5 linked regions of the Danio rerio genome follow. The protein of the gene in region 4 purifies or fractionates together with the protein of the main gene of each other region. This does not show direct contact. Links are inferred from orthologs where the notes say so. Each region holds a gene or a part of one and is shown on either strand. Other genes may lie near its edges. The genes, in order: csk, sntb2, dtnbb, tns2a and dmd.

The links.
Region 1: the proteins of tns2a (region 4) and csk purify together in Homo sapiens (affinity purification with mass spectrometry; 6 studies listed by BioGRID and IntAct, with this or other methods). This does not show direct contact. The link is inferred for Danio rerio from reciprocal best matches to the Homo sapiens genes TNS2 and CSK.
Region 2: the proteins of tns2a (region 4) and sntb2 purify together in Homo sapiens (affinity purification with mass spectrometry; 4 studies listed by BioGRID and IntAct, with this or other methods). This does not show direct contact. The link is inferred for Danio rerio from reciprocal best matches to the Homo sapiens genes TNS2 and SNTB2.
Region 3: the proteins of tns2a (region 4) and dtnbb purify together in Homo sapiens (affinity purification with mass spectrometry; 3 studies listed by BioGRID and IntAct, with this or other methods). This does not show direct contact. The link is inferred for Danio rerio from reciprocal best matches to the Homo sapiens genes TNS2 and DTNB.
Region 5: the proteins of tns2a (region 4) and dmd purify together in Homo sapiens (affinity purification with mass spectrometry; 3 studies listed by BioGRID and IntAct, with this or other methods). This does not show direct contact. The link is inferred for Danio rerio from reciprocal best matches to the Homo sapiens genes TNS2 and DMD.

Annotation. Positions count from the first base shown.
Region 1 is NC_133200.1:21,921,603-21,926,272, forward strand, and holds the start of csk (tyrosine-protein kinase CSK), read right to left. Parts: upstream 3,220-4,670; 5' UTR 2,871-3,219; intron 1-2,870. UniProt on the Homo sapiens protein: Non-receptor tyrosine-protein kinase that plays an important role in the regulation of cell growth, differentiation, migration and immune response.
Region 2 is NC_133200.1:37,488,897-37,493,380, reverse strand, and holds the start of sntb2 (beta-2-syntrophin), read right to left. Parts: upstream 2,916-4,484; 5' UTR 2,661-2,915; coding exon 2,117-2,660; intron 1-2,116. UniProt on the Homo sapiens protein: Adapter protein that binds to and probably organizes the subcellular localization of a variety of membrane proteins. May link various receptors to the actin cytoskeleton and the dystrophin glycoprotein complex.
Region 3 is NC_133192.1:39,012,045-39,016,074, reverse strand, and holds part of dtnbb (dystrobrevin, beta b), read left to right. Parts: intron 1-34; coding exon 35-115; intron 116-451; coding exon 452-665; intron 666-3,979; coding exon 3,980-4,030.
Region 4 is NC_133198.1:10,584,743-10,589,420, reverse strand, and holds the start of tns2a (tensin-2), read right to left. Parts: upstream 3,217-4,678; 5' UTR 3,155-3,216; coding exon 3,041-3,154; intron 1-3,040. UniProt on the Homo sapiens protein: Tyrosine-protein phosphatase which regulates cell motility, proliferation and muscle-response to insulin. Phosphatase activity is mediated by binding to phosphatidylinositol-3,4,5-triphosphate (PtdIns(3,4,5)P3) via the SH2 domain.
Region 5 is NC_133176.1:12,469,543-12,474,072, reverse strand, and holds the start of dmd (dystrophin), read left to right. Parts: upstream 1-1,322; 5' UTR 1,323-1,452; coding exon 1,453-1,534; intron 1,535-4,530. UniProt on the Homo sapiens protein: Anchors the extracellular matrix to the cytoskeleton via F-actin. Ligand for dystroglycan.

The sequences.
Region 1 (4,670 bases), on a different chromosome or scaffold from region 4:
CGGTTGTACAGTTCAAATAGTTGCTCAGTTATTTACTGCTGTCATTAAAAGACCATGACTCCTTGTGTCAGTGTGAGGCTGAACAGCCATGCTGCATTGGGCCGTGTCACACCACAGCCCCAACCCCCCAAAAACTTAGGGGAAACACTGTAGTGGTTATGATTTTTCCCATAATCAAGCATCCCTAGTTGGCGCTTCTGTCTGACACTGTTCATGTGCATGAGAAAAACACATTCTCCTAAAAGCCGTTGACAGGAAATGGAATTCGCAAGGTAAAAACAGGAGTGGTTTCACTGGAGACATCCAATATCTTGGCACTTTCATCTGATATACCTACCTGTCAGCTAGTATGTAATGCAGCTCAGTGTCCAACTGAATGCAAAAATAGTATATCACTTCACTTTAAAAACGAATAAAGAGCAAAATTTTTGAAGAAATGTGGTGGCTCATAACATGTAACTAATCTAACTGTATCAACAAAGTAGTTTTAGACAGCTACTTAATGTTTATTCTTCCATATTAATAATATTTTTTTCAATTCATGTAGTTATGTTAAAGGCACATTACGTTTTCCTAGGCTGCTTTTTTCAAGCCGTACCTGCAAATACTGAGGCAGTCTTCAAGCCTGAAAAGAAATACTATGTGCTTTACACTATGGCAACCCAGGATGCTGGAATATAATTGGGTAAATTTTCAGTGGGAGGGGTTACACAGACTAAACACCACACTCATCAAGGATAATTAACTGTAGCACTGTTTTTTAAATTAACAAGTATACTTCGTATGTGGGTCATCATATTCTTCTTAAATGTCTGGGTAAAAAAACTAAAAACAACCTTTTTCCGCTTTGAATACGATGGCTGTGTCTGAAATCACATACTTCCAGACTATATAGTACATGAAAAACATATTATATTCATTCATTCATTTTATTTTTGGTTCAGTCCCTTTATTAATCCGGGGTCACCACAGCGAAATTAACCGCCAACTTATCCAGCACGTTTTACGTAGCGGATGCCCTTCCAGCCGCAACCCATCCCTGGGAAACATCTACACATCATCATTCACACTCATACACTACGGACAATTTAGTGTACCCAATTCACCTGTACCAATTTGACAATTGAATTTGACAGAGACACTGACTACATTTACATCAGTAATCAAATTATTTGCCTTAATCTAATTAAGACAATAATATTATTATGGTGTACACGAGTTGCTTTTTGAATGTTCCTTTCATGATCAAGTTTTACATGTTATAGCACATTATTCGATTACCATCATTGCGTCACCATGCTATCCACATTTTCTCCAGAGTTTCATGTCATTTTGAGTTTTTTTAGTTTTCATTTTTCCACTTTAACTGCAGTTTGGTTCTTTCACTTTCATTCAGGAACATTTCATGCATGCACCCGTGACAAACAAGATATTGGATGCAACTATGAATTGTTGGATGTGTGTTGTTTTAATGGAATTTCATACCGCTCGCTGAATGGAAAAAAAAAACTTTGCATTTCACAGTGCATGTGTCTGTGGTCCTTAACTGACTCTAGGTGCAAAGAATAGTGTCAAACAGCCGTGTGTGTGTGTGTGTGGACTATCCAGTCGCAAAACGCAGCAAAAAGTCCTACATGATGGTAATAGTTTAATTAAGCTGTTTACATGTCTGTTCTGCACTTCAATAATGAAGTATCGACATACTCCACATGTCTTAATTCGATTTCTCTTTAGTTCAATTATAATCTTAATCGGATTAAATTAATCAAAAATCACTCCTAACCAGAGTATTGTCTTAATCGTATAAAAATCTGATTATTGGTGTCCATGTTAACAAACTCATTATTGAGTATGTTTACAGTACTGTAAAATACTTCCTTACACAAAAAAAATGTAAAAACTGCTCGCTTTTCTAGTGAAAACTTCATTTTTTCATGGCAAGGTTGACATTTGCATGGAATTGCTCATTTAATATTGTTTATGTACACAAGTGGAGTCACATTTGTGCATTTTCTCCAGTCAAGCCCATTCCAAAGATTTGACTGCGTACAGGACTACGTACAATGTGAACCATTATTATGACACTTTTACTTTTTGTCATCATAAAGCCATTCTCTATTCACTATGAAAATGTTAGAAGCAAGAACAGCCAATAGAAATCTGGTTTGAAACAGCATGATAGTTACAATTCTCCTTATTTGGGGAAGCGTGTCTTTAAAGTCTGCACTTTAGCAGGAGGAAGTGACCTTTGGATTTCAACCTTTATAAATGCAACTCATTAATATTAATAAAGGCAAAAACACAGAGAGACCTTTCTGCTATGATTTGAATAACCGTCTTTTTAACATGGGATTTTTTTTTCTTTTTAAATACCATGACAGGTTGGGTCACAAATGACTCTGGTGGTGTTTATTAGTAAATAAGTTTACTATTTCCTTTTAAAAAGGGTATTATTATGGGTCAACTATGTACAGGCCAGACCTACATTCAGATGTTGTTATTAAACATTCAAGAAACCATGACAACATAATCCAAAATGATGCTGATGGGGAACAGAACGGATGGTCCAAAAAAAGACAATGCATCTCAAAATGGCATTAGTCCATTTCGCCTTCTCGCACCCAGTGCATTCTGGGAACAAACCCTTTGCATCTTGAGCATATGCTTTATTTAAGATGATTAACAAAACATGAAGGACACGTTTTTGTCTCATGCAGCAGCTTCAAGTGGCTCTTATTTAGACAGCTGTAAAACAGACCCATCGCATTCAGATTCGCAAACACAATGCGTCCATTATGAGACGTCCAAGTAGATACTAAAAATATGGTTAATATCACGCAGTTACATTAGCGAAAACAAAAACACATTACCTATAGGTGTTCTGCAGATGATGGTGTCCAAATGCCTTGAAGTTGTAGATGTTTTAAGATCGTCCACTTAGTCCATGTGTGGGTCAAACCCACCAGAATGCATCAACACGAGATACAGACGTGATCATTCACACATTCGGCGTCAAATAGATCTTCCAACGAGCTTTCCTTTAACATCAACCCAGACAAAAGATGTTCGGTTCGTCCGTGCATACAAATATACCCGCAAAAAACCGTTAAAGACAGCGGCGGTTATATATACGCCTCACATACAAAACACACAGCGCGGGAAAGAAAACAAACGGTTCAGCCCCCCAAAAAAACGCAACTGTTGCAGCTTATTACTGACCAGGGAAGTCGATAAATGCTACGCCGCCTAAAGCGAGCAGTTTTTAAGCTTTACGGAAGCGCAGCACACCCTAGGGCTCCAGCTGTCTTTTACACACACACATTCACAGGCCCTTGAAAAGGAAACGCACTTCTTCAGACAGCCCCGTTTGTTGTGCGCATGCGTCGTAATGCTACGAATTCTACTACTGCGAGGGCATATGGCTTCTCAATATTAAATATGTGAGGCTAAAGAAAATTTTCCGAAAACAAGAGTAAAGCAGGATTAATGACAAATGTTACTGTGAATATGTCAATATTAACGAGGTTTACAAAATAGACACTGAGCAATGTTAGCATTGACTGCTTAACATTCATAAGATAGTCCCTTACCGTGGTAGGATTCATAAGTTTGCAGCAGGAGCGACAGCAAGCGTTTTTAAAGAGAATTGCAACAATAAAGCCATTCAAATGTAATATATAAAGCAAGGGTGCCCAAACTTTTTCTTACGAAAGGCCAAAATCTAAACATGATTGAGGGTGGTGGACTGAAGCCAAACATATCAAACTGCTTTACATTAAAGTTGTCATGGTAACTCCCTAATTTAATAATATAAAAAAACTATAATCGTATGAATACTTGTATATGTATTTTAAATTTTGTAAGGTACTTCTTACAATAAAACCATAAACAATTTTATTTATAACATAAAAATCGTTCAACATTTAAAAAAAAAAATGTGTATAAGGATTTCATTGCCCTGGTAAAATCTGATTCATTCACATTCAAAGTTTTGTTTTTTTGTAGCTCTGCAATTAAACCAACAAACAAAAGATTATGTAAAATTAGAACTGACGACCTCTTGCCCCAACCTTCCCCATCATTTGTCCATGTCTTCTATGAATCAAAGATTATCATGGGCCAATTTTGGCCCGCGGGCCCTAGTTTGGGCATCTCTGATTTAAAGAAACTCTTAGACCAGAATTTTAATGTGAATTTGTAAATGCAAGAGGTAGGTGACTCTTTTTCTATCCAGTAGAAAAATTAGGAACATTTTTAGCTGAGAATGCAAGTCACAAGCTTCTGACATTTTGATATGGAGCCAGATGAGTCTCAAAAATAGTAAATTTGCAATATATTATTCATACATCCACAACACAAGAAACATTTACAAAATCCAATTGGTAACTTTAAAAACACAATTCGAAAGTTCAAAACACAATTTGTAATTACACAAATCCTGTTCGTAATTTCAAAACACGATTCATAAATACAAAAATCTAATTCATAAATTTGAAACAGGATTTAAAGCTGCAAAAATCCAATTAGTAAATTCAAAACACGATTCATAAATACAAAATTCCAGTTTGGAATTCATAACAGGATTTGAAAATGCACAAATACAATTTAAAAGCTCAAAAAAAATCGTAAATGCACAAATCCAATTCGTAAATTCAAAACACGATTCGTAA
Region 2 (4,484 bases), on a different chromosome or scaffold from region 4:
TGTGTTTCACTGAGCTGATGGACAGGGCGTATAATGGAAGTCAACGGGGCTCTTAAATGTGTTATCCTGGAGGCTCAGTGCCAGTGCTGGGGAGACATTTAAATACCACAACACTCACTGGACTCCACCAATGTAAACTCTGCCTGTGCCAATATTGCGTTTAAGTCAGTTTTGTTTAACTATTTGTAAATATGAAAATTAAGCACCAAGTAAAAAAACTGATATTTGTAGAAATATTTGTAAGCTGACCAAATTTACACTAAAATAGGAATCAGATATTAGGTTTCGATCCAGAAAAAATAAATCATTTGCATAAATAAATTTGACTAAACTATAATATTTTGTAGGAAGAATTAATTAAATTAAATGGTCATTAATTAAAATTTTTATTTATTGTCACTGTACAAAAATGTGTCATGATTCCACTTATTATATTTATCTTTTATTAATCACAGCTTTTCGCGTGTTTTTGCAATACAAATAATTTTTATTACCATGATTTTTGTTGTTTTTTAAATAATAAGATGATATATCCCCTTAAAATTTTAGACCATATCAACAAAAGTAACAAATCCAATATTTTGTAATATAATAATAATAATAATATTGCTGACAAATAAAATTTCTAATTAAGTGAATTACATTATTTAAAGATATTAAAGACTTTTATCTGCATTTTTTTCATGCTACCTACAATTTTTGCTTTTATTTTATAGTTTTTTTGTTTTATAGTCTACAAACTTCGACACAAAATTTGTGGGACTATTTATTAGACAATGTTTACATGTCAAAACGATTCTTTCAGGCCCACAAAATGCATACAATTTATATAATTTAGTTTGAAAAACGTGTTACATAGATTTACTCTTAGGTACGAGACTAATGAAAATAAAGTCGCAAAACAGATTCTTTCATTCATTCATTTTCTTTTCAGCTTAGTCGTTTTATTAATCTGGGTTCGCCGCAGCGGAATGAACCATCAACTTATCAAGCATATGTTTTATGCAGCGGATGACCTTCCAACCGCAACCCAGCGCTGGGAAACACCCATACACTCTTGCATTTACACCCACACGTACACTACGGCCAATTTATTCAAATCCCCTATAGCGCATGTGTTTGGACTGCGGGGAAACCAGAGCACCTGGAGGAAACCCACACCAACATGGGGAGAACATGCAAACTCTACACAGAAATGCCAACTGGCACAGCCGGGGCTCGAACCAGCAACAATCTTGCTGTGAGGCGACAGTGCTAACCACTGAGCCACCGTGCCGCCCAAAACAGAATCTTTACTAGGAAAAAAATAGTGGGGCTGGATTTTTACACTGACTGTGGTTTGCTATTGGTCAGTCACACTGAATGACACCTTGACTCCGCCTTCATGCCAGTGAACACCAATCAAAGAAGAAGAGCCACTGAAGTGGGCGTTATTTTGAAGAAAACTTGTATGAAATGTTATTTATTTAAAATTAAAAAAAATGTGCAAAGACAATAATTAATAATAAATATCGTACTAAAGTGTTTCAACACCGAACTAAAATATCATTCAAAATTAGAATTTTTGTATTGCAGAATATGGGTATTGCAAATCAGAGTTATTGATAGATGTTTAGGGGATAAATCAATCATTAGATAGATAAAAAATATATAAATAAAAAATAATACTGTGATTTCACCAAAAAAAAATGAAGTTAAAAAAGTACAGTAATACAGTACATCTGTTTATCTATTCCTCTTTTACTGTATTACTCCCATTCCTATTCAAATCATACCTGGTGTTTGGAGAAAATTGCTATTAGAGAAAAAAAAGTTATCTGCTTATTACCACAAAAAACCTTCAGTCATGCACATCACACATCTGTAAGTTTCATAACTTCAGTAAGGGGTTTCCAAACCTCTTATAAACCTGAATTATCTAATATGTCAAATGAGCCAATGTTTACAACATGAACAGTTAAAACTCAACACAATAAAACCTGAAACACCTCAAAGTTTCTATTTAGGCGTGTAAATTATGAACACATAAATAATTAATTATTCAAAAAACTTTGTTTTGATTAACGGTAAACTACAAAGGCCTACTGAATCCCCGCGGCTCGAGTGATTGACTTACCCTCCAGCGTGACCTCCTTCCCAGCCTTCTTCAGCGCCTGCACCGCCGCGTCGTGCGTAGCGTCGCGGAGGTCGCTGCCGTTGACGGACAGTATCGCGTCGCCCACACGCAGAGCTCGACTCTGATCCGCAGCTAAACCGGGGAAGATCTTTGATATTAGGATAGGCATACGGTTCTCCCGTCCCCCTTTAATGCTAATCCCCAGTCCGCCGGACTCCTGCTTGACTATCCGAACTCTGCGTACCCCCTCCGAGTCACAGTAACCGCTGGACTCCGAGTCCGACCCGGTCCCGTTAACGCGACCCGGGCTGTTGTCGTATTGCACGCGATTCGTAAACACATCCCGGTTCTGTTCGTTGCCATTGGAAACGCCGTTTTTCAGATGCGAATTGTGCTCCGGGTAACCCGCGGGCCCGCCCGGTTCTCCCTCCGCCGTGAGAGTGAGGTTGTCCCGCGTGAGCTCCGCTGACACCCGGACCCAGCGGTCGCTCAGCAGAAGGTCCAGATGACCCTGTTTCTCCGCGCGGGTCCACACGGCCATCATCAAACTTTAACTCATCCTAAAGTTTAAACTCGCTCGACACACCCACTCGCACGCACATTTCCCCTGAGGAAGGAAGAGGAGCGAAATTTTAATAATAAATCTGTTTAATAAGTTTAAACATTGGTATTTATTGCTGCAGCTCTCCGAGTTCGGGTTCTCACGGCACGGAGAAACTATTTAATTAAAAACACGCGCTGCTGCTTAGACCGGACGGCCGGAGAAAAGCGTTAGATTTGTATCTCATTGATTATTCATGAGAGGGGCGGGGATTGTCAACTTATTTATCTTTCCTCGCCGCACTAAAGCCACTAAAGCTGTACAGTGATTTAGAAACAAAGCGAAAATAATGGCGTAAAATTACTTCAGTGTCATCATTACTGTATGACTTTTGTTCTTATTATAATGCAGCTTTTAGTTGTAATAAGATAGATAGTAGGAAAACAAAGATAACTCTCTCATTAATAATTAATCAGATTCAAATCTTTATACGTTGAATAAGTTAATATCCAACAACAAATAATAATAATAGTTATTGTTAGTATTATAATTAATATAAAACAAAATAAATACGTTTTTAATATAAAATTTTAACTTGTCACTATTTCACAGACAGTTAAAAGACTATTGGTGAGCTAATTTAAGTTTTTATAAATAGATGGGATTATTAGTTAATTTTCATATTTACTGTTTTCATTTTAATAGAGAATTAAATTAAGCTTTAATAATCCTTCCATCCCGATACCATAAAGCAAAGTCCATTTTCATCTGTAGCTGAAGGGATTGAAGCTCTATTGTATTGAAGTCATGTGTTTGGTAAATCTGCTGGTCAATATAACACATAAGTGTTTTTGCCCAAAATAATATTGACTCGCAGTAAAAGATGTTGACTGTTCTCATTAGCTTCAAAGTGTTACTCATACTCTAAATGACTCACCTCAGCTTTAAAAAAAAACTCTAATACACAGCTTTATTTTATTTATCACAGTTGACAGAAAATTTATGTATGATAATTGTTTTTCCTTACACTAATTAATGTAGTCGTGTTGTTTTGAATTTGAGGGGGGAGGGGGGGGAGTATTCAAAATACAGTTTTGTGTAAGCGTTTGTGAATATGTTTATAGCACGAATATGGAAAAGAGGGAAAACTGATGAATCAACTGAGGATCATCAGGAACAACCATCACAAAGTAAAATAAATAAATAAGAACATAATTTCAGCTATTTTTCTGTCATGTAAACATCTTTGTTGTAAAATTTAGAATTGAAAAAAACAGCCTATGAACTCCTCAAAATGATTAATAAATTCAGAATTGCAGGAAGAAGAAAAAAACTAATTCAGAATTGTAATATAAACAAAGAAACATGAGATAGAAAAGTATCTCTGAACACACAACATGTCCAACCTTGAGGCGGATGGGCTACAGCAGCAGACAAACACACCGGGTGCCGCTCCTGTCAGCTACGAACAGGAAACTGAGGCTACAATTCACACAGGGTCACCAAAATTAAACAATAGAAGATTGGAGAAACGTTGCCTGCTCTGATGAGTCTCCATTTCTGCTGTGACATTCAGATGGTCGGGTCAGAATTTGGCCTCAACAACATGAAAGCATGGATCCATCCTGCCTTAAATCAACAGTTCAGGCTGGTGGTGGTGGTGGTGTAATGGTGTGGGAGATGTTTTCATGACACACTTTGGGCCCATTAGTACCAATTAATCATCGTGTCAACACCACAGCCTACCTGAGTATTGTTGCTGACCATGTCCATCCCTTAATAACCACAGCGTACCCATCTTCTGATGGCTACTTCCAGCAGAAGAAC
Region 3 (4,030 bases), on a different chromosome or scaffold from region 4:
AAGTGACAAATCTGATGCATGTAATTTTACCCAGGGGCTCAAAACTTTGATGTCATTCGCCTTTCAACGTACAGGACAGCATGTAAGCTACGATTTGTCCAGAAACGCTGCAACCGTAAGTTGTCATGTCTTTCATTTGAATGTATCATTGAATCCCCTTGTTTAGCAAGTACATTTGTTCTCGTGTGCTGGGAAAATCAACAAAATACATCCATTGTTTATTCTGGATCAGTGTTTCCCAACCGTGTTCCTGAAGGCACACCAACAGTACACATGTAACATCAAACACACCTGAATCAACTCACCAGAGCTTAAGAAGAAACTCTAAAACCTGAAGTGAATGGGTCAGATAAGGGAGACATCCAAAATCTGTACTGTTGGTGTGTCTTCAGGAACAGAGTTGGGAAACACTGTTTTGGATCATCTCACCTGTTTACTTCTCCTGTCGCAGTTCACCTAGTGGATGTGTGGAACATGATCGAAGCTTTTCGCGACAACGGGTTGAGCACGCTAGACCACAACGCCGAGATTAACGTGTCCCGCCTGGAGACCATTTTGTCCTCAATCTTCTACCAGCTCAACAAGCGGCTGCCCACCACGCACCAGATAAACGTGGAGCAGTCCATCGGCCTGCTGCTAAACTTCATCGTGGCCACTTATGACAGGTGTGTTGTTAGTAAGGGAGATTTGATTTTCTCTCAGGGGGTCCCTTGTGGCAGAATGTCCCTGCAAACCTGATGGACCGTGAGTCATGCAGTGTGCATCGTGACAAGAGTGAGTGTTTGGATGGCATATGCCTCGCTCCAAAGCATAGTGAGCTGCCTATGGAGACTGCATTTTAAGGGATTGTGAGCACACTTTAGCTGTGGTGGGTGTTTCAAAAACTATGCAGTTTAATCATTCTTGTCCACTAAGAAGCTGTACGTTGTTTTGGCTAAATTTTAAAGGCCCATTTATGTCAAGCATGATAATTATATTGATTAAGAAGCTGCTGTAAATATAAAGAATAGTCCACACCACAGATACCATTATAAAGGCACTGAGGAATCATATCACTGGACTCATTTTTTCAGAGTGTTTTTCCTGCCAGCTACCGAATGATAATAAAACTGAGTAAATCAATATGCATCCTACTTTGAAGAGCTCTCACACTTAAAGTGGCAATAATAAACAGAACGATGTTGTGCTTTGGTTTAGCGGTAATATAATTATCATTATAGTTGTAGTTCTTGGTGTGAATGAGCCCTAAAGGAGCAGTCACTATTGTTCAGTGGTTTTGCAGACAAAATCCAGTTATTTCAACAGGAATCCACTAAATCTAAGAGGCCGTTCCCTTGATGCAGACCTAAATTATGAAGTATAAGCATTAGAAGTTAGTTCATATGACTTAATTTGTGGCATAATAAATTCACGATGTGCTTTGGTTTGGCAGTAATGTTATTATCATTATAGTTATCATTATAGTGATCATTTTAAGATCAGTCTTTTACCATTGTTCAGAGATTTGTTTTTGCAGACAAAATCCCATCATTTTGACAAGAATCCAAGAAAAATCTCAATTAAAAAGTATATGCATTTAATGTGGAAAAATAGGGTGTACATTTAGTTACTATGACTTCATTTGTGGCTTAATTAATTCCCAGCTAAAAATTTTAGGTTCTAAAAAGGATCCCATTCATTCATTCATTCAATCATTTTTCTTTGGCTTAGTCCTTTATTTATCAGGGTTCACCAAAGTGGAATGAACCACCAACTATTCCAGCATATGTTTTGCATAGCAAATGCCCTTCCAGCCGCAACCCAGTACTGGGAAACACCCATACACTTTCACACTCATACACTATGGCCAATTGTCATTCATTAATTTTCCTTTGGCTTAGTCTCTTGTTTATCAGCGGTCACCACAGCGGAATGAACCACCAACTACTGGGAAACACCCATACACTCTCATTCACACAAGCACTCATGCACTACGGCCAATTTAGTTTACCCAATTCAATTATACCGACAGGCGACAGTGCTAACAACTGAGCCACCATGCCGCCCCTCCCATTAAGTTCATCCATTCTTTCATTTTCTTTTCGGCTTAGTCCCTTTATTAATCCGGAGTCGCCACAGCAGAATGAAGGAAACCCACACCAACCCTGGGAAGAACATGCAAACTCCACATAGAAATGAAACTGACCCCCAATTAAGTTATATAGTATTATTTTAACATTTAAAATGTTTTTTTGACAATGAATTTAAGTTATTTTTTGGCTTTAAGAATGTTATTAAACATCTTCTGAGTCTCATGTTATATTCGTGTTCTCACATCGTTATTTAAAACGTTATTAGAACATTTCATCCATATTATGTTAATGTTCTTAAGAACTTTTCTCTACCTTCACTCTAAAAGAATAGAGGGTTCCACACAATTCCTTCATATTAACTTAATAGTTTTTTACCAATTTAAGTGGATTGAGCGTAAATCAGTTGCCCCATAAAAACGTAAGAATTGTGTTGATTCAACTCATTTTAAGTACTTTAAGTAGTTTGAACAAGGAACAAAAGCTACGTTTTTGAGTGTTTCTCTGTAAGTTATGAAAATGTTATTGTTGAAGGTTCGTAAAATGTTCAAAATTACCAGTTTTTAGATGATGTATTAACATTTTTTTTTTTGGTTATAATAACATTACTAAAAAATTAATTTTTATTTTTATATCTCATAACAATTCAGTCTCAAGATATATTGAAGTTCTCCAAATGTTGTTTAAAATGCCATTAGAACATTCCATCTACATTATATTAATGTTCTTAGAATGTTTTTCTATCCGCATTACAAGAGTCTTCCGGAAACATTATTATAATAATGTTGCATGCTAGCATTTAGACAACTTTTAAGAAATGCTACTGGATGTTCTCAGAATACTCCATGTTAACATGTATAAAACCTATTTGTTCCTAAATCGTAGCATGTTGTTTTAATTTGTACCTTTGTTAACTTTTAAGTTCATTTAGTTATCTCAAAGAAAAAATTCAATGCTCTAATTCAGATTTGCATCGTTTTGTTGTTTTTAGAGATTCATTTAAAGCATTTGATGATGGCAAAGCTTCTCTAAATATTCAATTAATTCATTTTATGAGGTGCTTTTATTGTGTAATACTGTACACTCAAAGCTTTTTACAATCATATGAGTTTCCACCAGTGTGCAGCTAGCTTTATCTAGCAAGATAAAAGTCTCTTAATAATCTTTATTAGGGTTGACAGCGTTTCATTTTTAAATAAAGATTTTAAATACAAACTTAACTAAACTAACACATAATAAAAGTAAAAGAGAAAGCATAAATAGTAATATTTGTCAATAAATAAATATTATACACATGGACTTAAACTAAATTTTACATGAATTGTTAACTAAATCGTTTGCTAATTTAAATCCACAGAAAAAAGTTAATAAGTTACTTTAATTTTATTTATGTGTTTATTGCACATTTCCCCCCCTAATCTTTTCTTTTCCTGTACTTACTTTAAAAACCCCTGAGCTGTAGGACATTTTACATTGCCTGTTTGTGAAGCTTTGGAATAAAAAAGGCAATGGGGCTTTTAGTCATGTTACACTTCTATAGAAATCAAAAAACAAAAACAGAACGCACTATACCAAAAACCACTAGCTTAATGGAAACCTACCTATACATGTAGTTACAATACTTTCATTTAGTCTACTTACTTCTTAGCACAGGATTTAGGAAATTTACCAGGATTCTTCAAAGCCAGCTTGTAAGTAGGTGTTTGGCTGTGCTGGTGGGATTGTGGCCCTTTTAGCGCTGTCAACAATTTGTAGTCAAACATGTTCTGTTTGCAATCATAATCCAAATAATTGTATGTAAAAGTACAAAGACTTGTATAATCCAGACACTGGCTGGAATTAAAAAGAACCTGTTGACTTTGGATTTTTATAACCAAATGTCTTCTGATAATATGTTGTTTGTGTTTCAGTGAAGGCCATGGGAAACTCACAGTGTTTGCTATGAAGGCAATGCTAGCTAC
Region 4 (4,678 bases):
GTATTCTAATAGTGCTTTTAGCAAAATTAACTATATATATATATATATGTCTGTCAACATCTCAGAAAATGTGTTTTGGTGTTTTATGACCTTTTAACAACAGGACAAAACAAAACGAGACAGGGAATTGTTTTTTTTTTTTAACAATTTAAAATAAAAATATGAAATGTACAATTCCTAGACATCCCAAAGATCATATGCACCATCCCAAGGTCCATGTCAAAAACAGTGAACATCCCGAAGTACAGCTGTCCCTTAGAGACAAAGAATGACACAATGCAAAACAGCCTGGAGACTTACAAGACAGAGACAGGAGTGAAGACTTGCTGTTTGTCACGCTAAGACAATAGCAGCTCAGTGAGGGTAAGATTCTGACAAGCTAAAGCCTCTATTTGTTAAACAAAAACAGTAAATAGCCAAGGGCAACTCATAATTCAATCTGCAATGATTGCATGGGTGCAGAGTGAAGTTAAAGATCTGAGGGGTCGTAAGTTCAGATCCTGCAAAAGTTGATCTAGGAAGCATTATCTTGTTCCACTGGGAACTAAAAAACAACAGTTATATGTCAGATTGTGTAACTATAGCATCATAAATGGGTTATATGCTTGCATGAGACAGTGTTTCATTATAATCCCATCAGCAGACCAAAAATGTTTCTACGTGACATGATCATATACTGATTTAGGAGTATTACCATTAAACTCTGCAGCCACAGAAAAAGAAAAGAAACTGGGCTTGTATTAAAATCAAAAATGTCTGTAAAAACAAATATTATGGTTATAGTTGTAGGAGGAAGCATTCAAAAGAAACCTCAACCTTATGCAAGTTTGCTATTAAAACATCAACAGGGCAGTGGATGGACTCTTTTGCAATCCCATAGTGACAAGACTAAAATTTGTATGTGTTTGGGCACAGATTATGGATCTGCGGTGAAATATGAAAGTGGCATGGCTGTATAAATGTGTAGAGAAAAATAATGATTCCCAGGCCTGCTTTACAGGATCAGCTGCAACTCTGTGACATCATGCAGAGGGCTTGAAGTTCCCACGCTGCACTGCACGTGAACCAGCCTCAGGGACCAGACCATTATAGACTTTCACTCTCAGGCATGTAAACACACAATCAAGCCCTCCTCAAGTTTTCCAGTCCTTCTTTGTCAGTGTCAACAATCAGAGAGACATTGTTATTTCAGAATCGAAATGCTCATCCTTACACAATTTGACTGACCTGGAATGGTTAATCTAGCATTTTCACAAACACAGAACATTGGTATCTTAAATGTCACCTAAATCATCTAAGAGTTTTCACATTGTGCAGGAAAAAAACAAAACATGAAGTGGTGGGATTCCAGAGACTTACAGTTTGTATATTGGAGTATTAATATTTAAGAAACCACCAAAAACTTTTACAAGCACCAGAGTACCAAAGAAACCATCTTAATACCCCAGGAACCACTAGAAACCCTAACTTTTACCCAGAACATCCAACCAAGAACCTTAACCTAACCACCCAAACCACATCGGTGTACCAAAATAACCATTAAAATATCCTAGCAGCAACCACTAGAAACTCCAACCTTTACCCAGAACACAACCATGAACCTTAACGTAACCACCCAAAACACCACCAGTGTACCAAAGTAACCATCGATATATCTTAGCAGCAACCACTAGAAACCCAAACCTTTACCCAGAACACACAACCAAGAACCTTAACCTAACCACCCAAACCATCGCCAGTGTACCAAATAACCATCAAAATATCTTAGCAACAACCACTAGAAACCCCAACCTTTACCCAGAACACACAACCAAGAACCTTAACCTAATCACCACCGGTGTACCAAAGTAACCATCAAAATATCTAAGCAGCAACCACTAGAAACCCCAACTTTTATCTAGAACACACAACCAAGAACCTTAACTTAACCACCCAAACCATTACTTGGGTACCAAATTAACCATAAAATATCTGAGCAGCAACCACTGGAAACCCCAACCTTAACCTAGAACACACAACCAAGAACCTTAACCTATCCACCCAAACCATCACCAGTGTACCAAAGTAACCATCAAATTATCTTAGCAGCAACCACTAGAAAGCCCAAACTTTACCCAGAACACACAACCAAGAACCTTAACCTAACCACCCAAACCATCTCCAGTGTACCAAAATAACCATCAAAATATCTGAGCAGCAACCACTAGAAAACCCAAACTTTTATGTAGAACACACAACCAAAGAACCTTAACCTAATTATCACTGGTGTACCAAAGTAACCATCAAAATATCTTAGCAGCAACCACTAGAAACCCCAACCTTTACCTAGAACACACAACCAAGAACCTTAACCACCCAAATAAAATATCTTAGCAGCAACCACTAGAAGCCCCAACCTTTACCCAGAACACAAGGGAAACAAACCCTTAACACTTACCTAATCTAACCAACCAAAACAATCACCTGAGTACCAAACTAAACATCAAAATACAGCACCAAAAACAACAGCCACAACAACAAACAAAAAAAATTGTTTGCTCAACAATCGCATAATCAGTCTTCAGAGAATTGGCATCATTCAAAATACATTATCAACCACACAAAACACTACAACATTTCTTAAAAATACTCTATAAAGCAGCAGAATACCTGAGCAACACCCCATAGTACCCCTTACATCTATCCAGAGCAGCTTATCAAGCAACACTCTGGCAAATACACAAGTTCTGCATAAGTAAGCATACCTCATATTTTCTTCAAAATGTTTATCCTATTTTAGTGAACATATGAAAATCAAGGAAAGCAAAACAAAGGTGTAGTACTGCATAATATACTTTGACAAGTTGCAAATTCATCCTTATCTGATGCTGTCTTCGCTGGAAGGGAGTAACATCTCTTGCTACAAGAAGTTGCAAAACTTTTGACTGACATTCAGACAAACACAGTTCCTTTACCACAAGCAGACACTTGATCATCCGACACTGCAGCATACAAATAAACATGAACTCATCACCTGTAAACAAATACGGGAAGCACCCACCTTGGTCAGCCTCATGTTTCCCCTGGATTTTGCTCTCTCCCTCCTTAAAGACCCTCTCACGGGTACTGGATCTGGCTCGTCCCCACAGCTATCCCCACTTAAGGCGCAACCCATATAGAGGCCTGGACCCTGCTGGTCCGTCTCTTCTCTCTCCCTCTCTCTGGATGAGGTTTCCCGAGCACACAAGAGGCAGCTGTTTTTGTTCGCTCACTCGAAGCCCTTCCCCTTTTCCTGGCTTTAATTCAAACACACACACATGTTCGCCAGTTCACACTCATCTGTCTCTCGTGAGCACACGTATGTAAACAAAGGTGAGAATATGCCTATTAAATCAAAAGTCTATTAGCACTCTTAGCCTGCGTACGGTCAGCCAAACGTACACAACTCACAAGCCAACATCAAGAGGATATCAGCCCCCACCCCCTACTTTTCCCAGAAACACACACACCATTGTGCTCAAGTGATCTGTCTTTCAGAACGTAAACAAACGACTGTTGACTTTTCTTCCTTAATTGCTCATTTTTAGTGTTAGAGGCACATCCAACGATACCTCAAATCATGCAATTTATTGGGGAGTGGTGTGTTTGATCTTTCCCATATAAAAGATTAATGTTTATCTTGTAGGAAAAAATCAAGACGTATATTTAAGAAAGGACCTTAACTATTTCTAGTGACTTGGATATTACAGTGACTTTGAACATGTTAGTGATCAAAATGTACAATCTAGTTACAACCCAGAATACCCTAGCAACCACATAGCAACTTTTTAGAAACTAGCCAAAACGCAATAGTAAATTACCTAGCAATGCAATTGTAGTAATCACACACTTTCAATCTGTAGGAAACCCTTGTAATCCAGAATGCCCAAGGAATGTTCTTTTAACGCTTAAGTAACTATCCCATTAAGTAACCTAGGATGCCAATTGGTATGGGGTCACACAAGAAATCATTAATTATTTCAATTTTATTTATTATTCGAGTCTGAACGATCTTTAATTTTGAAAAGTGACCATATTTTCTCACTTTTATCTCGGTCACTTAAGCGTCAAAATGAACCTACAAGCAGCAAAATGAGTAAGAAACAGAAAGCAACCTACGAAACCCTGCTCCAACCCTGGTCTGCTGTGTAATTGTTGAAACATTGAGCGGTCCGCGGTGATGAAATGGATGGGACCAACACCATAAAGCGCTATCTACATAGTATTATATTAAATAACCTTATATTTGCTTATAGATTGTGCGTCCACTGTGGGCCACTTACTATGCGTTCACACCACAGGCAACGAGAGTATCAAAGTTTGCTCTGGCCGCCCGGTCGACGATGATGTCTGCTTTTACAGCACTGCCGACGAGATCGTCAAAATTCGCTATCTTGTTTTTAAAGGGGCTGTTGCATATCAGCAAATCACTTACATTCCTGCATAAAAACATGCTTTCTAGTTTGAAAATGTTGCACACCTTTTATCAAATTCATTTGACTGTGGAAGATCTAGTTGTTGCATGTGTTGTGGCTTTGTTCCACCTATCCAATACGTCCATATGTGTGAAATATTCTGAAGCAGCAATACTGTTTCGTACTGTCGTATAGATAGGAACAACTGTGGTTGGTACCAAAGTTCACAGGACTGTGTTGTCTGC
Region 5 (4,530 bases), on a different chromosome or scaffold from region 4:
TTGTATAAACAGTTCAGGCTGGTGGTGGTGGTGGTGTAAAGGTGTGGGGGATATTTTCTTTGCACACTTTGGGCCCATTGATACCAATTGAGCATCGTGTCAACAACAAATATATGCCTAATAACATGGGTATTACAATGTTAAAGCGGTTTATAAGACATGCAAACAATTCAAAACTGTTACATCATATCTAATGATGTCTTTTTGTATTCAGAATTTGCTCCAGGTTTTCTGTGAAGTTTCGTTTGAGGGATAGGGTTAGGGTAAGGCAGTGATCCTTGTGTGTCAAATAAGAGAGATATACAAAATGTGTTGGCTGGGGGGTCCCGAGGACTGTAATTGAGAACCACTGGTGCAAGCCGATATAATCACCAAGTTGTTTTTAAAGAATAAAAAAAGTTACAAAAATGTTTATTCTTATAAAACACCAAAATGTGTGTACCTTGTATTCCTTTACATTATGGGGACCAAATTTCCTCACATGTGTAGCAATTGAATTTTGACCTCATGGGGACAAAATATATGACTATATGACAAAACTACATTTTCAAATGTATTTTTCCAGATATTTGTAAATAGTCAACAGTCACAAAAATATTGCTTAAGAGGGGTAATAATTTTGACCTTAAAATGGTTTTAAAGAAATTAAAAGCTGCTTTTACTCTAGCCGAAATAAAGCAAATAAGATTTTCTCCAGCAGAAAAAATATTATAGAAATGACTGTGAAAATTTCCTTGCTCTGTTGAAAACAGAACTCGCAGGAGGGCTAATAATTTTTACTTCAAATGTATCTAAACATACGTACACATATACTGTATATCTATATCTATCTCATTATTGTTTTGTTTTATTTTTCACTATACACCAACTATCTTCATTTTAAAATGAAGGTCGTGGGTGGTGGAGAGGCCTTAGGGTTAAAAGTCTGAACTGGTAACTAAAGATTTGGAGATTTAAAGCCCACCGGGAGCAATTTATGAGCTATAACCATTGAGCCTTTGGGCAAGGCACTTAACCCTAGATTGCTCTTAAGGGACTGCTGCTATAATAAGCGAATACTGTAAGTCGCGCATGACAAAACTGTGAAGTGTATACTTTCCTCTAAGAGCATTCATTGGCCATTTGTCACCAGACTTCTTGGTGACCAGTCCCTTTCTCGCCAGAAAATAAGCATTTGTGTTTGGGAGTGAAATGAAGCAGGCCTTCATAGTGACTCTCTATTTTAAGGCGAGCAGAGTTTGCCACCTGTCTCTGCTTCTCCAGATTCCCTGACAGCTTGTTTCCCCCTATCACAACAGTCCTCAGACTGTCTCGTCCCGGTGTCATTCACAAAAAATTCACTGCTGGATCTGAGGTTCAGTTTGTTCACAGGGCGTTGGTGAGGGCTCCTTCCTTTTTCTGTTTATAAAATTGTAGGATTAAAGGACCCAACGTTGGCTTGGATCTTATGTCATGGCCGAAGCAGTGAACCCACAGGACCAATGGGAGGAAGGTTTTGAGGACGAATTCGGAGAAATCATCAAAACTCGATCAGGTTGGAGAAATTATCTTTAATTTATTTGCTCATTAAGAACACTTTAAAAATTTTGTTTGTTTAAATTGCAAAATTTAACTAAATAATTTGTGTTTTTTTGGGGGGACAACTTAATTGTTTTATGTTCAATCCACTTAAATGTGTAAAAGTGATTAAGTTAACTTAATTTGTGTTGGGACAACATGATGTTTACAGCGAATTTTCAAACCGACTTTAGGTCAAATATGAACAATTGCAACTGTTGGGTTAAAAAACTGAGATAAAAATCAAACCCAAACAATGGGATTTTCCATAATTGGCCCAAAGTTGGGGTAAACATGATTGAGTTTACTTAATTTGTGTTGGGACAACATAATGTTTACAGTGAATTTCCAACCTAACTTTAGGTCAAATATGGACAATTGCAACTGTTGGGTTAAAATATTCAGATAAAAATCAAACCCAAATGATGGGATTTTCCATAATTGGCCCAAAGTTGTGTTTAAACAACCCAACTTATTTAGATATGGTCTCATGCAAGTGGTAGGTGTAAAATAGTATGTCTTAAAGGGACAGCTCACCCAAAACCTGTAGCCATTGACTTCCAAATTATTTGATTTTGTACTTTGGAGGTCAACAGTTACAGCCTGAAATTTCTTTGATTTGAAACCACTTGAGGGTGAGGAAATAGTGAGTACATATTAATTTTTGGGTGAACTATCTCTTTAATTCTGATTCAAAGTCAATTGTTTTACACTATCAAATTTCTCAATCATAATTTTACAGTTCGCTACAGTTTCAGTGCATTCCTTTCTACGGTCAAATTTAAAAATGAAAACACATGATTAACCAAACTTACACCAGATGAATATTTCCGCCATTTAAGAACACTCTAAAAATTGCTGCTTGTTCAAATTACTTAATTTAACTTATTTTGTGTTTTTTGGAACAACTTTTTTTAATTTGTGTTGGGACGACATGTTGTTTACAGTGAACCTAACATTAGGTCAAATATGGACAATTGCAACTGTTGGGTTAAAAATTTATATAAAAATCAAACCCAAATGATGGGATTTTCCATAATTTAACCCAAAACAACCCAGCTTTTTTTTTTAGAGAATGCTATTATCCAAGTGGTAGGTGTGAAATGACTTAAAGGGACAGTTCACCCAAAACCTGTATCCATTGACTTCCATAGTATTTTATTTACTACTATGGAAGTCAATAGTTACTGCATTCTTCAAAATATCTTCTTTTGTGTTTAGCAGAATTCATAAAGATTTGAAATCACTTGAGGGTGATGAAATAGTAAATATATATTAATTTTTGGGTGAACTATCTCTTTAATTCTGATTGAAAGTCAACTGTTTTACACAATCAAATTTCTCAATCATAGTTGTAATCGCTACAGTTTTAGTGAATTCCTTTCTACAGTCAAATTAAAAGATAAAAACATATGATTAACCAAACTTACACTACCAGATCATTATTTACGCCATTTAAGAACACCTGAAAAATTGCTGCTTATAAATTAAAATACTTAATTTAACTTAATATTTTGTGTTTTTGGGACAACTTCATTGTTTTATGTTAAATCCACTTAAATTTAATTTGCCTTGGGACACCATTAAAACAACCCAGCTTTTTTAGAGTATGGTCTCATGCAAGTGGTAGGTGTAAAATACTATGTCTTAAAGCGACACACCCAAAATCAGTATCCATTGACTTACATAGTGTTTGATTTCCTACTGTGGAAGTCAATAGTTACAGCATTTTTCCAAATGTCTTCTTTTGTGTTCAGCAAATCTCATAAAGGTTTGAAACCACTTGAGGGTGAGTAAATAGTGAGTACATTTTCATTTTGGGGCAACTATCTTTATTCTGTTTCAATGTCAACAGAGCTGTTTCAATGTCAACAGAGCTATACACAGAGCAGCAGCACGAGTGGTCTTCAATGAACCTAAACGAGCACATGTCACTCCGCTGCTAGTCCGTTTGCACTGGCTGCCAGTTGCTGCTCGCATCAAATTCAAAGCTCTGATGTTTGCCTACAAAGTTACTTCTGGCCTTGCTCCTTCTTATCTGCTCTCGCTTCTGCAGATCTATGTGCCCTCCAGAAACTTGCGTTCTGTGAATGAACGTCGCCTCGTGGTTCCATCCCAAAGGGGGAAGAAATCACTTTCGCTCACGCTCACGCTCAATCTGCCCAGTTGGTGGAATGAACTCCCTAACTGCATCAGAACAGCAGAGTCACTCGCTATTTTCAAGAAACGTCTAAAAACTCAACTATGTAGTCTCCACTACACTTCCTAATCTGTAATTGCCTCTCTGAATATCAAAAGAAATAAATAAGAAATAAATAAAATAAAATAAATACTAATACTTCCCTTCTTAGACTATACAGACCTGAAACTTGCCTATAGCACTTATTCATTGTTGCTCTTGGTTGTGTAAATTGCTTCCTTGTCCTCATTTGTAAGTCGCTTTGGATAAAAGCGTCTGCTAAATGACTAAATGTAAATGTAAAATGTACTTCAGTTTTTACAAATTTCTCAAACATTATATTAATGCCAACAATTGTATTGCATTCCTAGCCTACTCAAATAAATACTGGTTGCCTTTTATATTTAAGCCTTATGAGTCATTTGAATTCATATTATATTAAACCAGCTTAAAAAAAACTTGTGTAACTTATAAAATTAAGTTAGAACATGATTTACTTTGTTTAATAAGTTACAATTAACTAAAAAACATAGATTGTCATGACTAATTAATCATATAATTTTTCACAGTATATTTACCGTCAAATTAAAACACATATACTTAACCAAATCAATATTTACTTCATTTTCTTATCTGTACTTGTCTGTTCAACTATTTGCTGCCCAGATCAAACATTTATTATGAAACATTTTGAATGAGTATCTTTAAAATCGATTTTCTTTTGCCCCTGTGCTCCACCCTGAGTGAGTTCATATCTATTTTTTTTTTCCACCGCTGTCATCCTGTATTCAGTA